Daphnia pulex: one gene and its partners. The main gene of each other region encodes a partner of the protein of the gene in region 2 in a complex. Links are inferred from orthologs where the notes say so. Each region holds a gene or a part of one and is shown on either strand. Other genes may lie near its edges. The genes, in order: HEAT repeat-containing protein 3-like, ribosome biogenesis regulatory protein homolog and ribosome production factor 2 homolog.

What was found.
Region 1: ribosome biogenesis regulatory protein homolog (region 2) and HEAT repeat-containing protein 3-like share a complex: the UniProt entries of both Homo sapiens proteins name them as parts of the hexameric 5S RNP precursor complex. The link is inferred for Daphnia pulex from reciprocal best matches to the Homo sapiens genes RRS1 and HEATR3.
Region 3: ribosome biogenesis regulatory protein homolog (region 2) and ribosome production factor 2 homolog share a complex: the UniProt entries of both Homo sapiens proteins name them as parts of the hexameric 5S RNP precursor complex. The link is inferred for Daphnia pulex from reciprocal best matches to the Homo sapiens genes RRS1 and RPF2.

Annotation. Positions count from the first base shown.
Region 1 is NC_060021.1:11,399,956-11,407,851, reverse strand, and holds HEAT repeat-containing protein 3-like, read right to left. Parts: upstream 5,298-7,896; 5' UTR 5,137-5,297; intron 5,077-5,136; 5' UTR 5,076-5,076; coding exon 4,878-5,075; intron 4,813-4,877; coding exon 4,737-4,812; intron 4,679-4,736; coding exon 4,151-4,678; intron 4,089-4,150; coding exon 3,981-4,088; intron 3,920-3,980; coding exon 3,581-3,919; intron 3,502-3,580; coding exon 2,810-3,501; 3' UTR 2,760-2,809; downstream 1-2,759. Other genes in the region: nucleoporin NUP42-like, read left to right, coding at 1-26, 104-227, 290-337, 414-654, 717-1,220; serine/threonine-protein kinase 16-like, read left to right, coding at 1,548-1,639, 1,699-1,933, 1,994-2,189, 2,243-2,397, 2,461-2,706; glycine-rich protein 5-like, read right to left, coding at 5,792-6,333, 6,418-6,510, 6,574-6,658, 6,725-6,733; pupal cuticle protein Edg-91-like, read right to left, coding at 7,592-7,790, 7,855-7,896. UniProt on the Homo sapiens protein: Plays a role in ribosome biogenesis and in nuclear import of the 60S ribosomal protein L5/large ribosomal subunit protein uL18 (RPL5). Required for proper erythrocyte maturation.
Region 2 is NC_060028.1:7,484,688-7,491,620, forward strand, and holds ribosome biogenesis regulatory protein homolog, read right to left. Parts: upstream 3,250-6,933; 5' UTR 3,197-3,249; coding exon 3,039-3,196; intron 2,970-3,038; coding exon 2,717-2,969; intron 2,650-2,716; coding exon 2,255-2,649; intron 2,193-2,254; coding exon 1,928-2,192; 3' UTR 1,884-1,927; downstream 1-1,883. Other genes in the region: uncharacterized protein LOC124209703, read left to right, coding at 1-356, 426-659, 726-821, 890-1,104, 1,172-1,339, 1,420-1,561; 2',3'-cyclic-nucleotide 3'-phosphodiesterase-like, read left to right, coding at 3,630-3,632, 3,699-4,067, 4,139-4,376, 4,436-4,767. UniProt on the Homo sapiens protein: Involved in ribosomal large subunit assembly. May regulate the localization of the 5S RNP/5S ribonucleoprotein particle to the nucleolus.
Region 3 is NC_060026.1:16,287,571-16,294,700, reverse strand, and holds ribosome production factor 2 homolog, read right to left. Parts: upstream 4,479-7,130; 5' UTR 4,336-4,478; coding exon 4,319-4,335; intron 4,260-4,318; coding exon 4,127-4,259; intron 4,062-4,126; coding exon 3,902-4,061; intron 3,836-3,901; coding exon 3,556-3,835; intron 3,496-3,555; coding exon 3,351-3,495; intron 3,287-3,350; coding exon 3,128-3,286; 3' UTR 3,093-3,127; downstream 1-3,092. Other genes in the region: spermatogenesis-associated protein 5-like protein 1, read left to right, coding at 4,722-5,762, 5,820-5,993, 6,055-6,144, 6,210-6,537, 6,597-6,931, 6,995-7,130. UniProt on the Homo sapiens protein: Involved in ribosomal large subunit assembly. May regulate the localization of the 5S RNP/5S ribonucleoprotein particle to the nucleolus.

The DNA of each region.
Region 1 (7,896 bases), on a different chromosome or scaffold from region 2:
CAATTGCAAGAACGAACATACTCAAAGTGAGAAAATCAGACATTTTTCAGTTCTCAGCATGCTGATAAGTTTTAACTGAAATGTATCATTGTTTCGGACGTAGATCGTCCTCTATCCTATCAACAACAGTCATTTAATCAACCAGTAAGACAACAATACTTCCCTCAGCAGCAGCAACTGCAGCGTACAGCAGAAAGCCAACAACCAGCAATTCTTGAAAATTTGCTGCAAGTTTTTGTTATTGCAGTTAATATAGAACATAATGTAATTAATTTTCTATTGCTTCCAGCTCTGTTGTAAAAGATGATGCTACCAACTCCATGCAGGGAGGGCAATGGTAAGGCCACTCACTAGTCTATAAAAATATTTATCAACTACTAGCTGTTACATAATTAAGTAACAATTGTTTTAAGGTTGTTTTCGTGTTACGCTCCACTGCTTAGAAAATTTACAAAAGCTGCTTTCAACAACAATGAGGAAAATCTCCCCAATTTGGTAGACTACAGTCCCGAAGAACTTCGTTGGGAAGCAATAAGCAGCAACATGAAAGGACAGTTTCATGATTATACTACCAAGCTACAACTGCTTTCACAAAGTTATCATACAATTCAGCGAGCTTTGCAAAATCTTGATCAAGCCACTTCAAACTTTATTGTAAATATTTTGAAAATATTTTTAAGCTATTTCCTAGTTAAAACATATTTTCTTCTCTTCAGGTCCAATATGAACGTGGGGAAAATGTTAGTCCAGCAGGCACAGCTTTAGCAACTTTTGTACCATCTCTCTCTGCAAATAACGTCAATGCAACTTCCAGTCCGTCTCAGTTTAGCTTTGCTCTGCCTTCCACCCAGCCTCACCAAGGTGTTGTTGCTCCCTTCAAATTTCAGTTACCTTCACAACAGCCTGCTGCTGCACCTTTCAGCTTTAAGTTGCCTTCTCAACAACCTGCTGCACCAGTAGCAGCACCTTTCACTTTTCAACCAGCTCAACAACAAGCTCAACAGTCTGCTGCTGCACCATCTTTCAGCTTTAAATTACCTTCTCAGCTTCCCATTCAATCTGCAGTAAACTATTCTTTCAACATCCATGCAATTTCTCATGTTGCTGAAAATTCGTCCTACGGCCCTCAGTTAAGTCAGACTAACATACAACAATTCAAAGCTGACAAATTTTCGTTTGGAAAAATTCCACGCATTCCGCCACCAAAAGAATTTCGTTAAAAATTGTTAACACAGTTCTGTTGTTGTGATTTAGCCGTTTAAGTATGTAAAGGTATTACAAAATTATTGGAAATTCAAATAAAATCTAATTTCTCAGTCGCTTTAGTTTTACGATTTACACTGTAATTTATCGCCGAGGTTGTATTCCGTTGCTCTGGAATTTATTTATTTTTATTTTTTTTATCTGTTTGTTAGCAAGACTTTGGTTGCCAAACCCAAGGTTTAACTTGAAAATACGATTATGACGGGATTGTACTTTTGACAGAAGCAGACGAACAACATTCAGTTATTTAGTCCAACGATCTGACATTTAGAACCACTTCTGTCATGTTACAACGTATTTTTAGTGTTTTTTGTTCGAGAGAATATTACGATATCGATGGGAAGCGATATTTTGTGCGTGAACTTATTGGCCAAGGGTAATAATGCTATTACACAACATGTACAAATGTCTCGCTAAAATTTTAAAAATTCGTAGTGGTTTCAGCACAGTTGACCTGGTAAGCGAGGCTTCCAGTGATCGCCTTTACGCCTTAAAAAAAATTCGATGTCACAGCACCGAAGATGAACAAGCTGCAGAACAAGAAATCCGATACCACAAGCAAATCAACCATCCCTCAGTTATTGAGTGTCTTGCTTTCAGAACAGTTGGAAGTGCTGATATTTCAAGCAATCAAACTAGTTTAGTCCTACTTCTATTACCATTTTACAAGGTAATAAGATTTTTTAAGGCATCAATTACCTCATGATCTACATGCACTCTTATTACCTAGTATGGATCATTGCAAACATTACTAGAAAAGAGATTATTAAAGAAAGAGCCATTATCTGACAAGCTCATTCTCAACTATTTTCAACAAATTTGTGAAGGATTAGCTGCTATACACGTTATTGGAGTAGCACATAGAGATCTAAAACCCGCGAATGTTTTACTTGCCCCTAACGACCGCGTAGTCATTATGGACCTTGGTAATATTTGAACTCTAACTCCGGAAGTATAAATTCTAGACTTACCTTGTTAGGTTCTGCTGCTCCTGCTACCGTGGAGATAACCAGCTACAACGCCGCTCAGAGACTCCAAGATGATGCAGCAGAACGTTGTTCCATGACTTATCGCGCACCAGAACTTTTTAACATCCAAAGTCCGTCTACCATCGATGAGCGTACTGATATCTGGGTATTTTAAATTGTTATTATTTTAAAAGTTAAGTTTTTTCCATAAATTGTGACTTTTTTTTAGTCTTTGGGGTGCCTGCTATATGCCCTCTGCTACTATAAATCGCCTTTTGATGAGGTATTTGAACGAGGAGATAGCGTTGCTTTGGCTGCCTCCAGTGGAATGAATCATTTTCCAAATTCCACTTCCCCAGGAGTCAATTCGTCGGTAAACGACTTAATTTCCACTTTGCTTGTTGTTGATCCCAAAGAAAGACCTTTCATTGCTGATGTTCTCAGTTCAATAGAAGCTCTCAAGGGGTTGTTGTAGGCTATAAAACTCTAACCAATAACAAATCAATATAATAAATGCCAAAAATGAAGAACAGTCCAATAGCAACTTTTGTTAAAGCTTCAACAATTCATACATTACATTATCGATTAGCTAACGATCGTTGCTTTGTCTTATACTTGATGAAGCGGAGTAGATTGTCTCTAGCAGTCATAACAACTGGGAGGTGATCCGCCGGTAGGCTACGACGTTGTGAATGGACACGATGCTTGAAAGTGGGTGCCAATGTTCTTAAACGCTCCACCAGTTGAACATCTCCAACAATTGGGTCTGTGTGATCCTCCTTGAAAACATCAAATAAGGCATCCATAGCTTCAGCTGTAATCCACAAGTCAGGAGAAAGGCAAGCAGTGTCGAGAAGGATTTGACCGATTCCGCGAACAATCGAAGATCGAGGTTCCAACATGGGTGGTTCAACTCCAGCTGCCATTGAGCCAAGTGTGCCGAGTATCTGAAGCAAATTCACTTTTGACTGAGGATGAGAACAGTCTACAACTCTCTGACAGAGGAGAGTGATGTCTTCTAACTTCAAAAGGTTGACTATGTCTTTATGATACGACAATTTTCGAATTATGGCACGCATAGAAGCAGTTGCACTTCCCAGCATCTGTTCCGACTTACTACCCTGGAAAGCCACGACTGCTAAGCCACACCAAATGTCGAATAAATCCTTGCTGCCACCAATATCGTCAACTTCGAAAACCATCACCATGTTACTTAAACACAAGAACCCCATACATTGGAGCGCTTCGTAACGTTTAATAAGAGATTTTCCTGAAATCCAAAACAAGACAAGATTATTTCAATTTACCTTCCACTACAGAATGAGAGTTGAATCAAGTTAAATACTAACCTGTTGGGTGCTGATTTAAAGCTTCAATTATATTCGTTGCCGGTAATTTTGCTTTTTCAATAACCAGTTGAAATAGTCGCGCATCGATGAAAGCTTTCTTCAACTCGGGATTCAAGTCTATAAGGCTTTCTTGAAATCCTTCATTACCCAGTGATTCATCGCTAATGGATTCATCTTCGTAGAATTCATCCGAGTCGCCATCGTCTCCAGAACAACAAATATTGGTTAATATTTCCAGAGATTTTATTTGAGCAGAGATTAATTCTTCGGCAGCTTCGACAGAATCGTATAATTTAGAGGCCAAAGAATCTTCTTCCATTGCATCCCCACCGTTTTCATCTATAACAAAATTAGGATACTGAAAAGCCGAAATATGATTAGCATTAATATAGAAACAAACCTTGAGTTGTCGGTAAATGATCGACCACTGAAGACGCTGCCTTCCTTTGATCAAGGCAAAGAGAAGAAGTCAGGATATTTATAATATCTTGAGTTGACTGTCCCAATTCTGATTTAATTTGAAAAATTGTTAATACAAATCTAGACACATTTTATCAGCACAGAATTTACCTGAATTCAACTGCTGATGGTTCAAGTTAAGAAGTATCATAAGTGATAGAGTTTTCAATAAAGGGCTAGATTCTTTCACATTGAGGAATTTCGAAATAATCTCTTTTTTCAAAACTTCTGTGTAGTCAGTATCACCCTGTTCTTCAGTTACTGTGCTGAGGAACTGGACAACCGACGAAACAACATCTAAGCCATACGCATTTACGTCCAAATACGAAATTAACATGGAAACTATGTTTTCGCGATGTATCCGGTCAACAGCTAGAGTGCTGCTTTCGGAGAGAAGATTTAATGTTGCAACTGTTTCTAGAAAGGTGGCTGTAGAAGTATCAATTTTGTTGCCAGGTGCTTTATGAGGTTTCCACTGTGGTGGGATTCTCTTTAATAAAGCAATCAGTGGTGTTAAAATGTCGTGTTCAATGGCAAGCTTGATCGCTTGATCTCCTCCTTTTGAAATTATCGTATGAAGTGCTGAAGCAGTAGAATGACAAACAGAGGCACTTGTATCCAGCAATAGAGGACCAAGAACTAAATAAAAGCGTAAATCGTTTTGATTCTAATTTTCTTATAAATTGACGATGCATACCTTTTATTAGTCCTTCTTGTAATGCTGCACATGAATCCTCATTATTTCTTATCAATCCTGCTAATGCATGGCAAGCCTAAACAAAGAAAAACATAGTTACAGAAGATGATTAAGAGGGAGGGAGAATAAAAGGTATTATACACAGTCCCGCTCTTCTGCTGATGAACTTTGTAACTGTCTTGAAAAAGACTTTAGGGTTTCTGACGAGAGGGCAGTTCCAGTATAAGGACTCTTGACAGCACAATCCATCACAATTTCTTCAGAGTCAGATTTATTAGCGAGTCCAGTGGGATTATCACGAACTTGCTTATTATGTCGGTTCGATTTGGATTTCCCCATCCTACCGGTATGTTGAGGTTAATTTTTTATCCAAATAAATGGAAATAAATTTTTCACTTACCTAGCTGACAAAATTAATAATATGGAGAAAAATTATGTTATCCAAGTTTCGTACAAGTAACTATGATAACGAAAAACCAGAAACGATCTCCCGCACAAGACTTGCACAAGAACCTTTCAACATGTCAGAGCACATGTTTGATAAGCAGACGAAAAAAGAAATGTTTACTTCTATCCCCAGATGGCACTTTTGCACTTTTACTTTTTCTTTTACTGTATAAAGAAATACCGAAATTCGTCCGTTTCAGTAAACTAATAAAGGGTCCTATCGTAAAGTAAAAAGAGAGCAGAATACAAGACGAAAAAGACTATCAAGTGAATTCAGAAAAAAGCTATTGTTGATGTTCGTTTTTTCATTTGTCCTATTGAAAAAGCCTTGAATGTGATAATTAATGGTTACTCTGTACTTCTCTAAAAAATACTATCAAGTCTACTATACACAGAAATGTTTATTCGGAATTATAGTAAATATTAAAGTTGGTTTATTAGGAACACTTGAGAAAACGGTAGTGAAGAATACTTCTCAAAATCTGTAAAGACAAGGACGATAGTGAAAATAGTTTAAGAAATATATATGAGGACCGATGAAATTATTCAAGCAATGGATGACAAATATTCTGAGATTATTCAGGATTTGTAAAGGGAAAACGGCGGAGTTAATAACCTCCTTGAGGAGGAGGAGGACCATAAGAGGAAACTGGAGGCGGCTGGAAAGATGGAGCAGAAGCATATCCAGCTTCTGACACCCCACCGTATCCCCCGCTGGAATGGCCGCCTCCGGAAGCCCCACCGTATCCGCCGCTGGAATGACCGCCTCCGGAAGCCCCACCATATCCGCCGCTGGAATGGCCGCCTCCGGAAGCCCCACCATATCCGCCGCTGGAATGACCGCCTCCGGAAGCCCCACCGTATCCGCCGCTGGAATGACCGCCTCCGGACGCTCCACCACCGTATCCAGCGCCTCCACCGTAAGAAGGAGCCGATTGATGAACAGGAGCAGAATGAACATGAACGTGAACTGGTGCGCCTCCTGATCCTCCTGGAGCTCTATGCCCCCCACCTCCACCGTAAGAAGGGACAGGAGCCGGTCTAGGCGGAGGAGGAGCGTGATGGATCGGCTGAGGAGCGGGAATGTATACTGGTTGAGGAGCAGGAATGTAAATGATTTGTGGAGGTGCAGCGCCATACCCACCACCACCTGTAACATTTAAATTAATTAAAGTTAGAAAACATACTTAAATTAATCATGAAGGATTAATAATTTAAATTTAAATTTAATTACCATGTCCTCCGCCACCGTATCCCCCTCCTCCTCCATGTCCTCCGCCACCATATCCACCTCCTCCTCCGTAGCTCATTCCGTAGCCGCCGCCACCTATTATTTTTGATTTTAAGTAAATTATAATAATCATCTAAGACATTTATAGATTATACGTACCCCTTCCCTTTCCTTTGGTAGCATCAGTGCCATGGACTAGCACCAATCCGAAAAGCAGAAAACATTTCAGCGTGTTCATGTTAACCTGAATCCCGTTAAAGAAAATACAAAATATTATTTGCCTAACATTTAAGTAATAAAACATTATTACCTTTGCCATGTTTAATCGATCAACAAGCTGCACCGAGAACGTTGGTCAACTGTGGTTTGAAATGGTCAGCAACAGTCGTTTATATATAGATCGCCCACCGTGCGTAAGGTGTGAGTCTGGTGTCAAAGACCGGGACCTACATCACAGAAGAGAAATGAAAGTCAGTTGTGACCGTGTGAAGTAAACTTTTCCCCTTGTTCCTATTCTTTCAATTCGATTAATCCAGCGGAACGGGACTCTAGCGATGGTCCACAAAGCATCTTCTGATTCAAGGACATTTCTTTTCCCTTCACCGGCTGGTTAATCGTCTCGGGAATCGGGAAAAAACCTCATTCACCCAGTTTCCTTTGACGACATGTTCATCGTGACACTTCAAAATTTTCAAGAGAAGAATTATTTAGGGTGAAATAACTCGGGCGTCCAAATTTAATACACAAGGCTAACACTGCATGAAGTCTTGAAAAAGTGAGAGTTACACGACGACAATCTGTAGACTAAACCATTATGTTGAACATATAGACTCTGGACGGCTGTATAGGATCGGGTCATGCAGCGAAAGTTCTTTTGTTAAAAAGTCTGGACTTTCATTTTTAGGAAATCCACGAAGTTTAGACGAAAGGTTTCAGAGAAGTGTGAAGCAAATCTGCTCAACACAAAAATAGAAATTTATCTTCAGTCTTTATTAAATCACTCCCACCTGTGGAAATCAAAACATACGATCGCAACTGGAATTAGTATCGCAGAAACTTTGTGTATAATCTATAATGATATCAAATCAATTCTACAGAATCAAACTGGAATGCACAAAAGGGTATGAAGGTTGAACCACTTCAAGTGGTAGAATGAAATGAATAGTGCCATTAGTTACTAATAATAATCTCCTGCGAAGGTATCACCATATGATGGAAAAATTGGAGCTGACGGATAACCGTATCCTGGCGATCCTTGGAATCCTTCGTGGCCTCCGAAACCAAAATCTGGTTGTGAAGAATAGGATGCCGCCGGATGAGATGAGTAGCCACCAGCCGATGCGTAAGCAAAGCCTCCACCGCCGTATTCCCCAACTCTGTGAATTGTTAAGAACTCGAGTTATCATCAATTTGATTAAGAATGATTGGGTAAGAATTCACCCGTGATGTTGATGATGATGTTGATGATGACCTTTGTGGTGC
Region 2 (6,933 bases):
AGAGAAAGACTTTTTCCATGAAAGTTGAAGAAGATCAAATTGCAAAATATATTTCAGTCCATACCTTGACTGGTCATTTGGCAAAAACAAAGCATACTGATTATGATGGAGTAAATGAAATCTCTCTGAGTGTTCCAGCACTAGGGTTTGCATCCCAAACTTCTACATTTTACTGCCTATGTTTCTCTAATAATTATGGAGAAACCAATAATATTTGTATTGAAGAACCTCATATGGTCTCACTCAGTATGGTCTTCTACTACGAAAAGTGCCTTGATGTCTTCTGGAATCTTCAACCTCTTATTGTGCATCTACTGAACAAAACAGTGGAAAGGCTTAAAGTTGGGCTATCTCAGGTTTCTTCTTTTTTTTAAATCATATCCATTCCAATCACTAATTTTTTAAAGTTTTTATTTTGCCTCTAGGATTTAAACTACCATGAAGAGCCCATTGTTTCACAATGGCTTGGAGAAATCCATCAAATACTGAAAGACAGCAGCAGGCTAAGAATTAATATGCCCCAATTAACAAGTCCCATCTCAATAAAACAGATAATGTTAAAGCTATCTCTGGTAGCTTGGGATGTGGCTATCACATCAATGCTCACAACTATGGGATCTTGCTGTGTTGTTGGAAAAAGTGAAGAACATATCAATGGGGTAATTCTGCATGCACATTTCATACCCAAATAAACATAAATTGATTTAATGTGTTACAACTTTTAGGCTATAGATGTATTAGCATTTTTTCTTCCAGATACTCATCAGATTCTCTGTTCGCGTTATGCTGCGAAAACATTCGCTAGTGGACTATTCATTCAAGTAAGTGTAGTTTTACTGATCCCAGCGGACAAGCGTTAAATATAATCCTCGTTTTCTATTTTTCAAAGGGACTGTTAGAGAATGTAAATGGAGTGAGAGACATAAATTGTGCAGACATTTTGTTGAATGAATTTCCTCTCACATTACTGGACCTTTCGCAGAGGGGCAAAATCAAATTTTCGGGAAACGTTCATGAGCACTATCGAAGTAAACAGCGTCACGCTCGTGAACAAGAGTTTAATATTATCCAGCGAAGAGAACCAAACATTCCTTTTTCAACTGAGTAAGTGAATAGAAATTTTCCTGTTAACAAAATTTGATATAATTCTGTTTTTTTCCTTACAAAATAGGAGCGTTTTCCGTCCATGTGGTGAGTCTAGCCGCTATGTTCGATGGTGTCTGGAGCAGCTTGCTACTCATAATACTGAGCACTGGTCTAGAATCATTGCAGCTTTCCATCAAGCATTGGCTTTGCAAGCTCATGATGTTATTAAAGCTTTTCAATCAAAACCCTTCCCGTAAGTTCCCGCTTAACTATTAACGAAAATTTATTCATCATCAGTTAAGTACGCTAATATTGCACCTTTAAATATGTAAGAAATGGAGAGAGTCTCAAACAAATGCGAAATCAATTGAAAAAAACAATGAAGATAGCCGAATCGGATTTCTGGCTTCTTGTTTCTACAGCTGAACGACTTAAGCCCGGATTTTGCCGCATATTTGCCAATTACAGGTTTTGAGTAATATAAATTCCAATGTTATGTTCTTGATAAAAGGCATTGACTGCAACTATAATAAAGCATCGTGATTCAACTTGATTCTTTGTCTTCATGGTTTTATGCTGTCTGTGTCTACCAATAGTTGATTACTTAAATTTTCAAAATAACGTAGGTTGTGTAGCACACGGTTAACTTATAGTAACGGAGGCTAAATATCTCTCAATGTAAATGGATTAAATTATACGTTATAACCAAGCTTACGTACACAATTAAACTCTTAAAATAAGCAACAAATAGTTAACCTTAAAGATTTTCCCTGTAATAAAAAAAGTAATGCTGAAACTCGAAACTTCACAATTGTATTGTATATGGAATACTTCATTCGTTTTAGTTTTTATTTCCAGTACGTTTTCCTCCTTTCTTAACGGTGCTTCGCCCAGCAGAACGGTCCCCCTTTTTACCACTCATTTTTTTATCTTTAGTTCCCTTGTGTTTTCTTTTACCAAGATCTTTTTTCAACTGAGTTTTCGATTTCTTCTCCATGCCTTTACCCTTATAGTCGAGGGATCCCGGAGTGTTTAATTCCCGATTTACGGCTTTATCGATGTCCAGTTTTGGTTTCTTGCTACTCAGCTTGTTCAATATGTCAAGACTACAAAGAAAAAAAAATAGCTGTAGAAAACCATTACTAATCACAATAATTTATATTGATACCTCTTTGATGTTTCTCTCTTGATATCACCAACCAATGGATCAAAATGTCTTTTTTGTCCACTCTTCAAAACAGGCTTTTGCTCTTTAAGGTTAGGTTGAAATTTACCCACTGATGCTGTCGCTGTGTGTGCTATGAAAACTGACCGATTAAGTTGCTCTGCTGTTGGCCTTTCAGTTGGCTCTAAACTGATTTTGGCTTTTGTTTTCGACTTCTGCATTCTGGCAGAAATGTTTCTCAGCCGCTGCAATTCATTCTTGGCAACAGACTCTTGTTTTTTTGTTTTACGCAATGCAATTGGATCAACATCATCCTTGGCATTTCCTGGGACTTCAACAACCCAATTTTTCTCTTTTTCAGCAAGAGCTTTTTTGAAGCCAAATCTAGGAACCCATTTCTACAGAAATAAAAAAATAATATTGTTATTTGGACAAGTGACAAATTTATAAGTACGGTGAACATGCCTGAAGTTCTTCATCCCAGGTAGCTTTTGACTTCTTTCGTTTGGTGATCCCCTTCTCTTTAGCATACTTCTCCCACTTGCTGAGTGCTTTTTCTTTGGGTGCAGGCTTGGCTCGTGGAAGTCTTGTGGTAGCAGATGGCAGCTTAATCACAACTTCATTGTCCACTTTGATTGTTGGTAGTTGAAAAATCTGGTTGATCAAGAGTTGGACATTGTCTCTTGAAAGATTTGCGAGGTATGCCTCTTTGTCCGCTCTGTTGTTAGAGCAAAAACATGTTAAACACGTGTATGATACATAAAAATGTCATTTCGAGACGACTTACCTGAACTGATTAACGTCAATGTCATTAATGTCATAAGCTAGAAGATTTCCCACGTCGTATTCTAATTCTACAACTTTGTCAACTTGAATAGATTTTAGTTTTTCTGCTTCGTCTTCTGCCGCTTTGGAGAGCACGTTTTGAACGATGGAAGCAGCCATTGTGAAAAGGACTAACTTTTAATGAAGTGGCTCCAAGTTCGAAATGCAGTCGAAATACAAAACATTCGAATGTCTACCGCCAGGTGGACTCACGGTGCTGTCAACATTGCAATCACGTGTATGTGTGATGTGTAAAAGAAAACAAGAAGAACTCGAAAGACTCCAGTTATCTCTTTATTACTGGTTGGGACCTTTGCATTTAATCTTGTCACTTATCATTGGCGGTGTATGAGCTCTCAGCGTAAATTTTGTGTTTTTAAAGTCGTCAAAGTAGTTAACGTGGAGGAGCCAGTGGGCTTCATTTGTTGTCATATCTGATTTCGTTTGATAAGAAAGTTGTGACAAGCTGGCATTTAAATGATAGGTTACTGATTCAATCTATTGTAAAGGGGGGAAAAGTAAAGAGACACTTTCAGAATATTTTTACAAAAAAATGGTGATTTTTTTCTTTTCCTAAGTTTGTTAATTTACTCTCATTGTTTATTTGTTTTTATTTTTTCAGTTGACATTTTCATCATTACTACTGCTAAGCTCAGTGCTTGGTTGCATTATTATGCCAATCCAAGTTGTGGAAGCTGCAGAAAATGCTGACAGTGAACTACCATTGTACTATGGCTGGTTTGTTGAAACTGAGTATTCATCCAGTTTCTTGAACAGAAGCCGTAAAATGTTGGCCGACACTCTTCAAGAAATTCCAGATTTCTTGAAAGATGTACAAAACTTTACTCAGAAAACATACATAACTGACATCTTATTGCATTACACAAGAGAAAATGCTGATGAAGTTCTTCATTGTACTGCAATGTATAATGGAGTTTCTCCCAACTATGTTCCAGGGGCTCAAGAATATTCTGAGAAACAGGTTGTGAAGGTAAAATGTAATGGAGAACAATGAAACAAAGCATGTTTAGGCATAAATATAAATTTTTTCTATTTTCCAAGGAAAATCTTAATCAGGTCTCGACTCTCCATTCGATTGGTTGGATCCTAACTCCTCGCACTTTCGGTGCCCGTATCAAATTAACGAAGAATCAGCTGTTGGTCTGGAATCAGAACGATACTGAAGGAAACCCTAAAGAAGCAAAAGTCAACACAAAAACATTTATTACTCCAATCACCTATGGTCAAAACCTTCGAGCATATAAAGAAAACTCGACAGATCAAGACCCTGACGTTATGGGTAAGATTTTACTATACAATATGGTATGTGTGTGGTTTGTTTAAGAATTTTTGCCATAGGAAATTTCCAACCAACGTCCGGAAATGGAAGCAAAGCGCATTTGACATTGGGTTGCTCACCTGGCGTCGGTGCTGTTACAACAGGATACGATCTTGTGGATCTGATTCGTTTGGAAGGTATAAACGGAAGCGAAGTGAAAACCTACGACATACCAAAAGGTGGGTGGCTAAGGAATTATGGAAATGGGCAGTGGGTTTTCTACCCAACTAAACAGTTTTTACTTGAGAGTACCTTTCTCGGTTACGACAGCGGAACTCACCAACTTGCGGCTTCGTTTAGCTTATTGTGTTTGTGTTGCGCCTTTGCGATTCTTACTAAGCAAAAACTATAGTTAGCTCAATTCTAAATCCATTTGCCTCTCTTCCGTAAACGTGTAAATCGGAAATTGCTAAACATTCAATAACTTTGTGAACTTGATTAAAGTTATGAAATTGGTAATCTTTGATTTATTCAATGCAACAGTAATTAAAGAATTGGATTGCGGTAAAGAAAACGGGATCCAAGAAAGTCAACCATTAAACATTGTTAGATATGTAGAGGAAGAATTTATTTTGACGCGTAGAAAATAGCGATGAATGTTTGTTTCTACTATCTTCGCGATCCGCCACCTTCGCTTGCCATTGCTTCGTAGAGCCACTGGTAATAAATTTCCCAGCTACGGCGAACACGTTTGTCAGTTGTGGTATTGCTGGCATTTTCTGGCAAACCCTGGACAATGTCCACTTCAAAGACATCACTAAATCTGGTTGCATTTGGGTGGCCATGTATCTGATGTTCGTACAGGACCGATGGGGGGGTTTTGTGGATGTCCTTTGTGAAAGGCATTCCTTCCGCCACGAAGGCCAACCTGTCTTCGTGATTCATCCAAGCTTCTAGCATCTCGCCGGTATGAGTCTTGTAACGAGCTTCGAAGTTTATAGATTGACCGACGTAATTAAATTTACATTTGGAATCGATACATCGAAAACGGTAAATACAACACAGCTGTCCTATTTCCTTTAACGGGGTGGATTGAATGGGAGACAATATTTCTCGGAAATATTTCCTCAAACTGTCATCGAAACAGATGGTTTCACTGCAGCATTGAAAGTAGATTTTCATAGGAACTTCATAAGGCCTAACGAATTTCGCACTGTGAGAGGAAATCAACTCGTTGAGACAACCATGAAGGAGAAAGTAAGATGATGAGTCAAACTTATCGTTGCTAACAGTTCCAAGAACCTGTCGAATCGTTTGCAGAAGGTTGGTTGCTGTTTGTCCATGAACGTCCACGGAAGTTGAGATTCCATCATTTGTAAGAACTTCTTTCATCCTCTTTGTAGTTTTGTCGTAGATTCGAACTTTATCTACTTCTTCTTTTTTTGATTTGGCGGATTCTGATCCGGAATCATCTTTCGCTCCGGTTCGGTCATTCATCATAGTTCCACCCAACTTGCAATTCTATTTTCAAAACGACTTAATTAACAGTTGTTACCGCAGAATGCCAGGATTACTAAATTAAACTACTGACTAAAACTTACTTCGTGTTGGTTACACAAAGTTGAAAGTCACATCACCACTAGAGCGAAAAATCAGGAGAATCCGTTCAGTGCCTATGACATCAGCGAGACTAATGAAGAATGACAAAGGGTTCTCGTTTTACTAACTCTTTGAATGAGAAATTCATCCCTACGTCGCTCCAACGTTAATCATATCGCATTGTACATCATCATTGCAAATAGGCCTTCTTCGAAGAAGCGTGACGTCATGGTAGCGGCTGTTATACGCACTGTTTCCAAGTGAACAACCCATTAATGTAATAATAGGTATTAAATGTAATAATAATAATATGAACATTTCAGCAAATATTTAAGGTCGCGATTGTGTTCCTCCGCATTGTAAAAAACTAAAAACTTTCTTAAATTTCTTGTAAAAAGTGATAATCTAAGTCCAAACATCTATTTGGCTAAAACCTCGCTTAACAAACTGCTGCAGGAAACCTCGAGACCATGTTGTTTCCGATACGACAGCCACACAAGAAACAAATGTAAAACTTCCATAATCGTGGCTTGACGTGTATTTTGTGGCATGTCATGTGATCGATTGTGAGGAAACAATATTATAAAAGTAGTACAAATGTGTAGAGCGTTCACAATTCAGAATCATTCACAGACGATTGATTACATCTGGCCCTTCTTTGCACGTGACAGTACTTAAATTGGTTAACAAATCGTCATAAACTGCAAAGTGCCTATACGTGGAGAACAGAACACAATAAAGGGAAACAAAAGACATTTAACGAACGCAACGAGGAAACAACCTGATGTACCCATTATTAGTAGAACCCATCAGGCAAAATTTTGCCTTTGTGCGAGATTAGTGAAAAATGGGAGACAAAGAAAAAGAAAACAAGCTGCGTCATGTTAGAGAAATACAAATGTTAAAATATTGAGAAATTCACGCAAATTTTGAGATTGGAAACAATTACAAAGAATTATTTCAAGGCAACGGTAATTAG
Region 3 (7,130 bases), on a different chromosome or scaffold from region 2:
CTTCTTCCGTCGCTCCCATCACATTGCAAAGTTGCGAGTTGAAAATGGCAAGGTCCACAGTTCGTTTGACAATAACCCCGATGAAGTTTTAGAGTATTTCCATGGCTGCTGCTGCTGGATTCATCACGCCATCCTTATCGTCCTCATTTATTCTCGTCTTCCGGATTATCTTTGAGTTCCTGTCACACAGGAAAAATGGAGCCAATTAAATTTAGACAAACTGAGACTCATAAGAATATTGCCAACGGTCAACTTGGCTAAAAGAAATAACCCTTCAACAACTCCAATAATCAAAAGAAATGGGCGGGGAAAGCCACCACTTTAAAGGGCAGAAATTGCGAAACAGAAAGAAATCAATGGCGTCGTGTAAATTGTCACGTCTTTCATTAATAAGGGCGAGTCGATTTTCAAAGAATGAGGATAATGCCTCCGGATGGATGAACGCAGGCAATTAATCTACTGGATCCCGCTGCGGTAATCACTTTCAACGTAACACTACATAGGGGGATACGACGAAAATCAAATACCAAATGAAAAGACCTGAGAATAATGTGGAAAAAAAATCAAATGGACAAAGGTAAAACTTAACGGCAGCCATTGAAAAAAAAATTCAAGGAGGGGGTCCATCTAGGAGGAACTTGATTAACATAGCAGAGGATCCATCGCTGTGAGTGAGTGGTACTTATACGATAATTAGGCCAAAGGCGTCTTGGATCTCACCATTATCCAAGTAACCTGAGTCAACGGATCTGAATCTACTCACGAATATCCCTCACATTACCACGCTTTTCAAGAGGTCATCTACACGGGGGGGGGGGGGGGGGGACCCATGCAGACGACATTAGCGATCCGGGCTCATCTAACGTGATAAGATCATTGATGATATTCGTTTGTAGTCCGCGAAGTGCAGCTCCTCGGCTTCGCCACAGCACCCATACAACACGACGGAACTTAACTATGTAATCAAGAAGGCTCAACTGAATCAAATGCGCAAACCAATGGTAACGGTAGCATACTCAGAACTACTTGCCTATACCTCAGTACACATTTAATTCGCCTTTTTACGACTAAGGAATATTGGACCGATCCCAATATCGACGAAAAGTCCCTTAGCCACTCGCCAGTTTTCCCTCTCCAGCACGGAGGAATGGATTTTATTAATGGCCTACACAGTGGTGGAAATTTAAGTTTTTAATTAACATGCTTTTTTTACGCGTAGAAAGTTTTTAGACTTTGCCGAGGTTTGAACCATCGACGCATGTTGTAGCAAATCAGATTGCTAACCACTGCGGTATTCGACCTTATGTTTAATAGCAAATCGTAAGTAATTATTCGTTAAAAAAGATCTTACTTTTTTCCATTCTTCCTTTTTCCAACATATAAACTTATTCTAATAGTTTAGGAAAATCTACTTTCCAGTACCTCCGCGTTGAATTCAGTTGGAATTTCATATCGACAAAATCCGCCGGTTGTTGCTCACATTGAACTTGATCATCTCGAGACGGAGTTTTAGGCAGCAAAAGGTGCTGTGTGCTTGGTAAAAACCCATCCACTCACCGCTAACCCTGATGGACGCATCATGTCGAAATCCACAAACAAAACTAAGTTGACATTTGAAGGAAAACGGACGCCACTCAATTCCCAGTTTGAACGTGGCATCTGTCACATGGCTGCTGAGTGGTAGGACAGTCAATCACTCAAGTGGCTTCTCTTTGGCGTATTATTTTCCATATGTCTACGTGACTGGATGCGCGTTTCTTTCACACGTCGTCCCTTTTTACAAAAGGAACAGAGGAGGGAATCCCCCCCAACCCATCTATTGTGGGCCTATAAAAGACGGGCTTCCCCATCGCTTAGACAATCAGTCAACTGTCAAATCTCCAACAGCAGCAAACTAACCGGTGAGCAAGATAACCGACAATTCTTTCAAGTTGAATTCAACTGTAATTGTTTCCTAAAAGTCGCATCACCAGTACAATGGACGTCCTCAACTCAGTCAACGTTGCTGCCGTTCAAAGCACCTGGGCCGTCATTAAATCGGACATCAGCACTTTTGCTCCCCAATTCTACGTGGCGTAAGTATCTTAAATTTTTACTATAAATAATTGAAAGATACTAACCATGTGTGACTAATCCACTTGGAAGACTGTTGACTGCTCATCCGGAATACCAAGCCATGTTCCCCACCATCGCCAATGTTCCATCCGGCCAACTGTTGAGCAACGCTGCTCTCATAGTAAGTCCAAAACACTTTGCAACCTGTAAATTAAACAAAATCTAAATGTGATTTCGGCCAATTCAGACCTTGTCAGTCAATGTCGTCACCAAATTGTCGGAAATCATCGACTCTTTGGGCAATCCGGATGCTCTCAATGGCAAATTGGTTGATCTGGCCAACCAGCATAAACAGCGCGGAACAACTCGAGCCCATTTCGACGTGAGTATCTTATACAAAGTAGTTGAGAAAATTTAGATTACTTATCCAATGAATTGTAGAACATGGCCACCGTGTTGCTGGTATTTTTGGCTGCCACTCTCGGCTCCGCCTTCACTCCGGAAGCCAAACAAGCCTGGACATCCACCATGCAAGGCATCAACACCGTCATCGAAGCTTCTGCTTGAAATCCATTACTCCCACATTGCAAGTAGCTGCTTTTCCCACTACCGATCAAAATAATTACATTACAGGCATATGTCAATAAATTGAAATGACGAGTAATTAAAAATACACAATTCGGCATTTCCATTTTACCTAGTTTTTGTGGGGAGATAAATTCTTGTAGTTTTAATTCAAAATAGTGGTGATACCTCTGGCAAAGCTAAGATGTGATTATTCATTTAACACTAAACCATAAGCCTTTAAGTGCTAGAAGCGGAGTCGACCAATTCCCAGTTAAATTTGTTTAGTTCCTTTTCTTTCTCAAATTCTAACCGATCCAGCAAATCCATCGATACTGGAAAAATTAAAGTTAATTCAAAAATGCTTAAAATAATATTACCAATAGAGTAACCACAGGTCCACAGGAGAGAAAAACACTAAATGGAGGTACCTAATAAGCCTGATAATTTAAATCGTGCACAGTACATACGAGTCGTGTTTGTCAAAGTCTTTATTAATTTCAACCGTTCACTTCTTGGAAAGTTTTGATGCTTTTTTGGGTGACTTTTCAGTCCGCAGAGCTCTTCCGCGTTTAACTTGCAACTTTCTGTAATCTTGACGTGGCATGTGAATGCGGCCGAGTTTCGAACCGAAAACGTCCTTGGACATGTTCTTGACTTTCTTGGGCTGTTTAAAAGCAAATAATACTATTCAGTAAATTTGAAATGGAAGTAGCCAATAGAAAAATTACCTTGGCAGCGCTTGGTGTGCGACACGCCCGTTTGAATAGATCAGCTGAGGCCAATTTGGTTCTTCTGATGACCAAGTCGGCCGAAGGTCCGATTTCTTCCAATTCAATATGAGGAGTTTTAGTTCCACTTTTGGTCATCAAAATCCTTTTATAAAAACTTGATTATTACAATCTCAAAAATGAAATGAAAAATATAGAAAAATACTTGTAACTGCGGAGGAAAATCTTGCCGTCAACAGCCGTGAAAGAAAGAGCATGTTCGAAACCAGCAAGACGAACTTGTTCCACTACTTCTCCACGGAAAAAGTCGATGAGCAAAGATTTGCATTTGGAATACTCTTCGTTTTGGTGCCAGACATCACCAGAGAAGATCAGGCAAGGCTTGTTACCATCCATCACTTTGGCGTTGCGAATTGCAGTCAAGGATTTGAACTGTTCCACACCAAATTCAATCATGTCGAGCAACTGGTGGTCAAACATTCTTCCTGAAAATTTAGATGACTTTTAGTTTAGGCCATAAATTCAAACAAAATTTAGAGATCAAATTGTACCCAGAATAACATTGTTGGGCCTCTTTTTGTTGTCTGAGCAGAATGCAAATAAAGAATGGTCATATTTCTGAGTCAGTTCTTCTATCGGTTTAACATCTTCAAATGGATTGTAAGGGTGTTTCTGACCAAAGTATGTTGATTGCATCCGTTTGATGGCATACTGAAGTAGAACGAAATGTTAGAAAACATACAACCCAAAAGCTTATAAGCTTGTAGCAATAGTACCAAATCTTTGACAAATTGAAGGGATGTGACGCTGGCAGTAGAACCACGAAGCATCAAAGCTTGTTTAGCCAATTCAACGATTTTTGGCTCTCGTTTTGCCAGCATCCGCTTACCGCGGTGGGTCTTGGGTTTCCTGCAATTAACAGATGATAATCAATTTTACGAAAAAATACTTGTAATTTCTTCACTTACGTAATTCTGACGCTCATTCTGTTAACAGTATATTAAGGTACGAAATGTCACACAAAGTAATATTTAACAAGTTTGGATAACTTGTTAGGATTTTAGACAGACACGTCTCCCAACCAACACGCGGTTTGAGTTTGAGTGTAACAATTCGTCTGCTAGAACTTGAGTCTCAAATTGCAACATGGCGAAATTAAATTTTGTAAAAAATGCTACAATTTCTCTGAAATGGTACAGAAAAAAAGGGATAAAATAAAATTGAACTTGAATCAAATAACTAATGACATTTGTAAAATTTTTCTTTAATTTTTCATCTTGTTTAGCGTCTTTGGCAACGCCGTATCTCAAATCAAAATAACAGTGACAGCATGCCCCGAAACGAAAATATCTGCAAAAATCAAGAGTAAAAATGAATACTGTCGTTATTGGTTCAGAGATTGGCAGTCAAAAGTGCTGTCTTCCTGTTGCGGAATTTGTAACTTTAAATTGTCAAGTTGGATGCCCAGTGAAAGTGACGACAAACAAGGGAACCTTCATTTGCAAGCTCTTCCCTAGGACTGATTTGAAAAATGATGCAGTTGTTGAAAATACCGTTCAAATTTACAGTGAACGTAGAAAGTTTCTCATCACTCATCCAGTAGTGACGAGGGATTTCAGTGTTTCAAAATTGTCACTGAAACCGGCAACAAGTATAACTGTAACTATCGTAACTGATAGTTTTCAAAGTGTCAACCATTTGAAACAATGCAAGTTGCCCCTGTTGATCAAGAGTCTTCTTTCAAACAAGATCATCACCCCGCTTTCGTCAATCACTGTTGGCAAATACTTTTCCGCAGGGAATGTAGAGAAAATTTTGGTCCTGGAAACGAAACCTGACGGTGGAGCTCTGACAGTGTCTGCCAAAACCCAAGTCAAGATTGAAAACATCATCACAGAGAAATGGATGAAAATTCAAGAACGAGTCCAAACGACAAGAATGGGAGGAGTAGATGAAGCCTACAACAAATTGAAAGAACTAGTGGTGTATCCTCTACAGCATCCCCAAGTGTTTGCTCAACTTTGCGCGCCTAGAGGAATTCTTTTACACGGTCCACCGGGCTGCGGGAAAAGTTCAATCGTCCAGCAACTCTGCGCTGAAAACGGCCTGTTTCTCATCCCAGTCACTTGCTCGGATCTCTCGTCATCCGATCCAGGAGGCAGCGAAGACAAATTGAGAAACATTTTCAAGGAAACTTTAAGCGTGTCGAGTCCCACAGTTCTATTTCTGGACGGCGTGGATTCCATTTGCCCTAAACGAGGTGGTCAAACCCACACAAATCGTCTGATTACTTGCCTAACGGGCTTGATTGACGACGTTCATACTAACCGCAACTTGACCATCATGGCGGCCACCAACAGGTTGGAAGATGTCGATCCTTCTCTTCGTCGGCCAGGCAGACTCGACAGAGAAGTAAATTTAATTGTGATTCCTAATTTGCTTTCGTCTAATTTTGATTTGATTTAAAAGGTCCATTTGTATGCCCCCAATTGCCATCAACGGGAAGAGATCATTAAAGCCATCTGCGAAGAAATTGAATTGTACACAGACTTGGAAGATGTGAAACAAGTGGCTGAAATGACCCCCGGCTACGTTGGCGCAGATTTAAATCTTTTGTGTCGTGAAGCCCTCTATCTTTCACTGGTAATTTTGTAATAATAATTTACTCCAGACGAAGCTGATGACCAACTAATTTTCGGGACAGGATCGATGCCTATTGACACTCAAAGAGTGGAAGGCAGCTATTGGTCGTGTTAGGCCATCCGCTATGAGAGAAAGTACCGGAAGTGGCGAGGTAATAACTTTGACGTTTATCTCCGTAAAAAATTATTTGAAAATTAATTTTTTGATTTTGCACAGTTCCGTCGAGTCAGCTGGGATGAAGTCGGAGGATTGGAAGAGGCCCGTATGTACATCCGCCGCAGTGTTGAATGGCCGCTGAAACACCCTGAAGCTTTTGAGAGGCTCAATGTGCCCCGGCCGAAAGGCGTTTTAATTTACGGCCCTCCAGGCTGTGGAAAATCGCTCCTGGTCAGAGCGGCAGCCACTTCGTGCACGGCTTCCTTTCTGTCTATTTCAGCCGCCGAACTCTTTTCTCCGTTCGTCGGAGACTCGGAGAAAATGGTCTCGGATCTCTTCCGGCGAGCCCGCCAGGCAGTTCCGGCTATCCTATTCCTAGACGAATTAGGTAACTTAATCAATCCCTCGGAATATTATTGAAAATATTTTAATTTGGTGATTTTGTAGACGCAATGGTTGGTGGACGTACCAACGCCAATCACGGCCGGACAGCCCAACTGGGTGTGGTGGCGGCCCTGCTTCAAGAAATGGACGGCATTTCATCCAGCCAAGGAGTCGTGGTAGTTGGCGCCACCAATCGACCCGACAAAATCGACGGGGCTCTACTTCGTCCAGGTCGTTTCGACTCGCTGGTTCACATCCCACATCCAGACGAAACTGCACGATTGGCCGTCCTTCAGTCACTCTGCCGGAAGATGCCGTTGAAGGAGGTCGACCTGAAAATCCTGGCGGAAAGAACGGAACTCTTTTCAGGAGCTGATTTAGAATCCCTGACCAAAGAGGTGACAAAACTTTTAACCTTAAATGTTCTTGAATAATAAAAACAACTTTTGCGGAATTATCAGGCCGCACTGGGAGCCCTGGAAGAAGATTTATCTGCCTTTGAAATCCTCCAGCGACATTTCGAACAAGCCCTGGCCAAAGTCCCGCCTTCTATCACACTTGAACAAGCCGATTTCTATCGGGATTACGCCTCTGGTA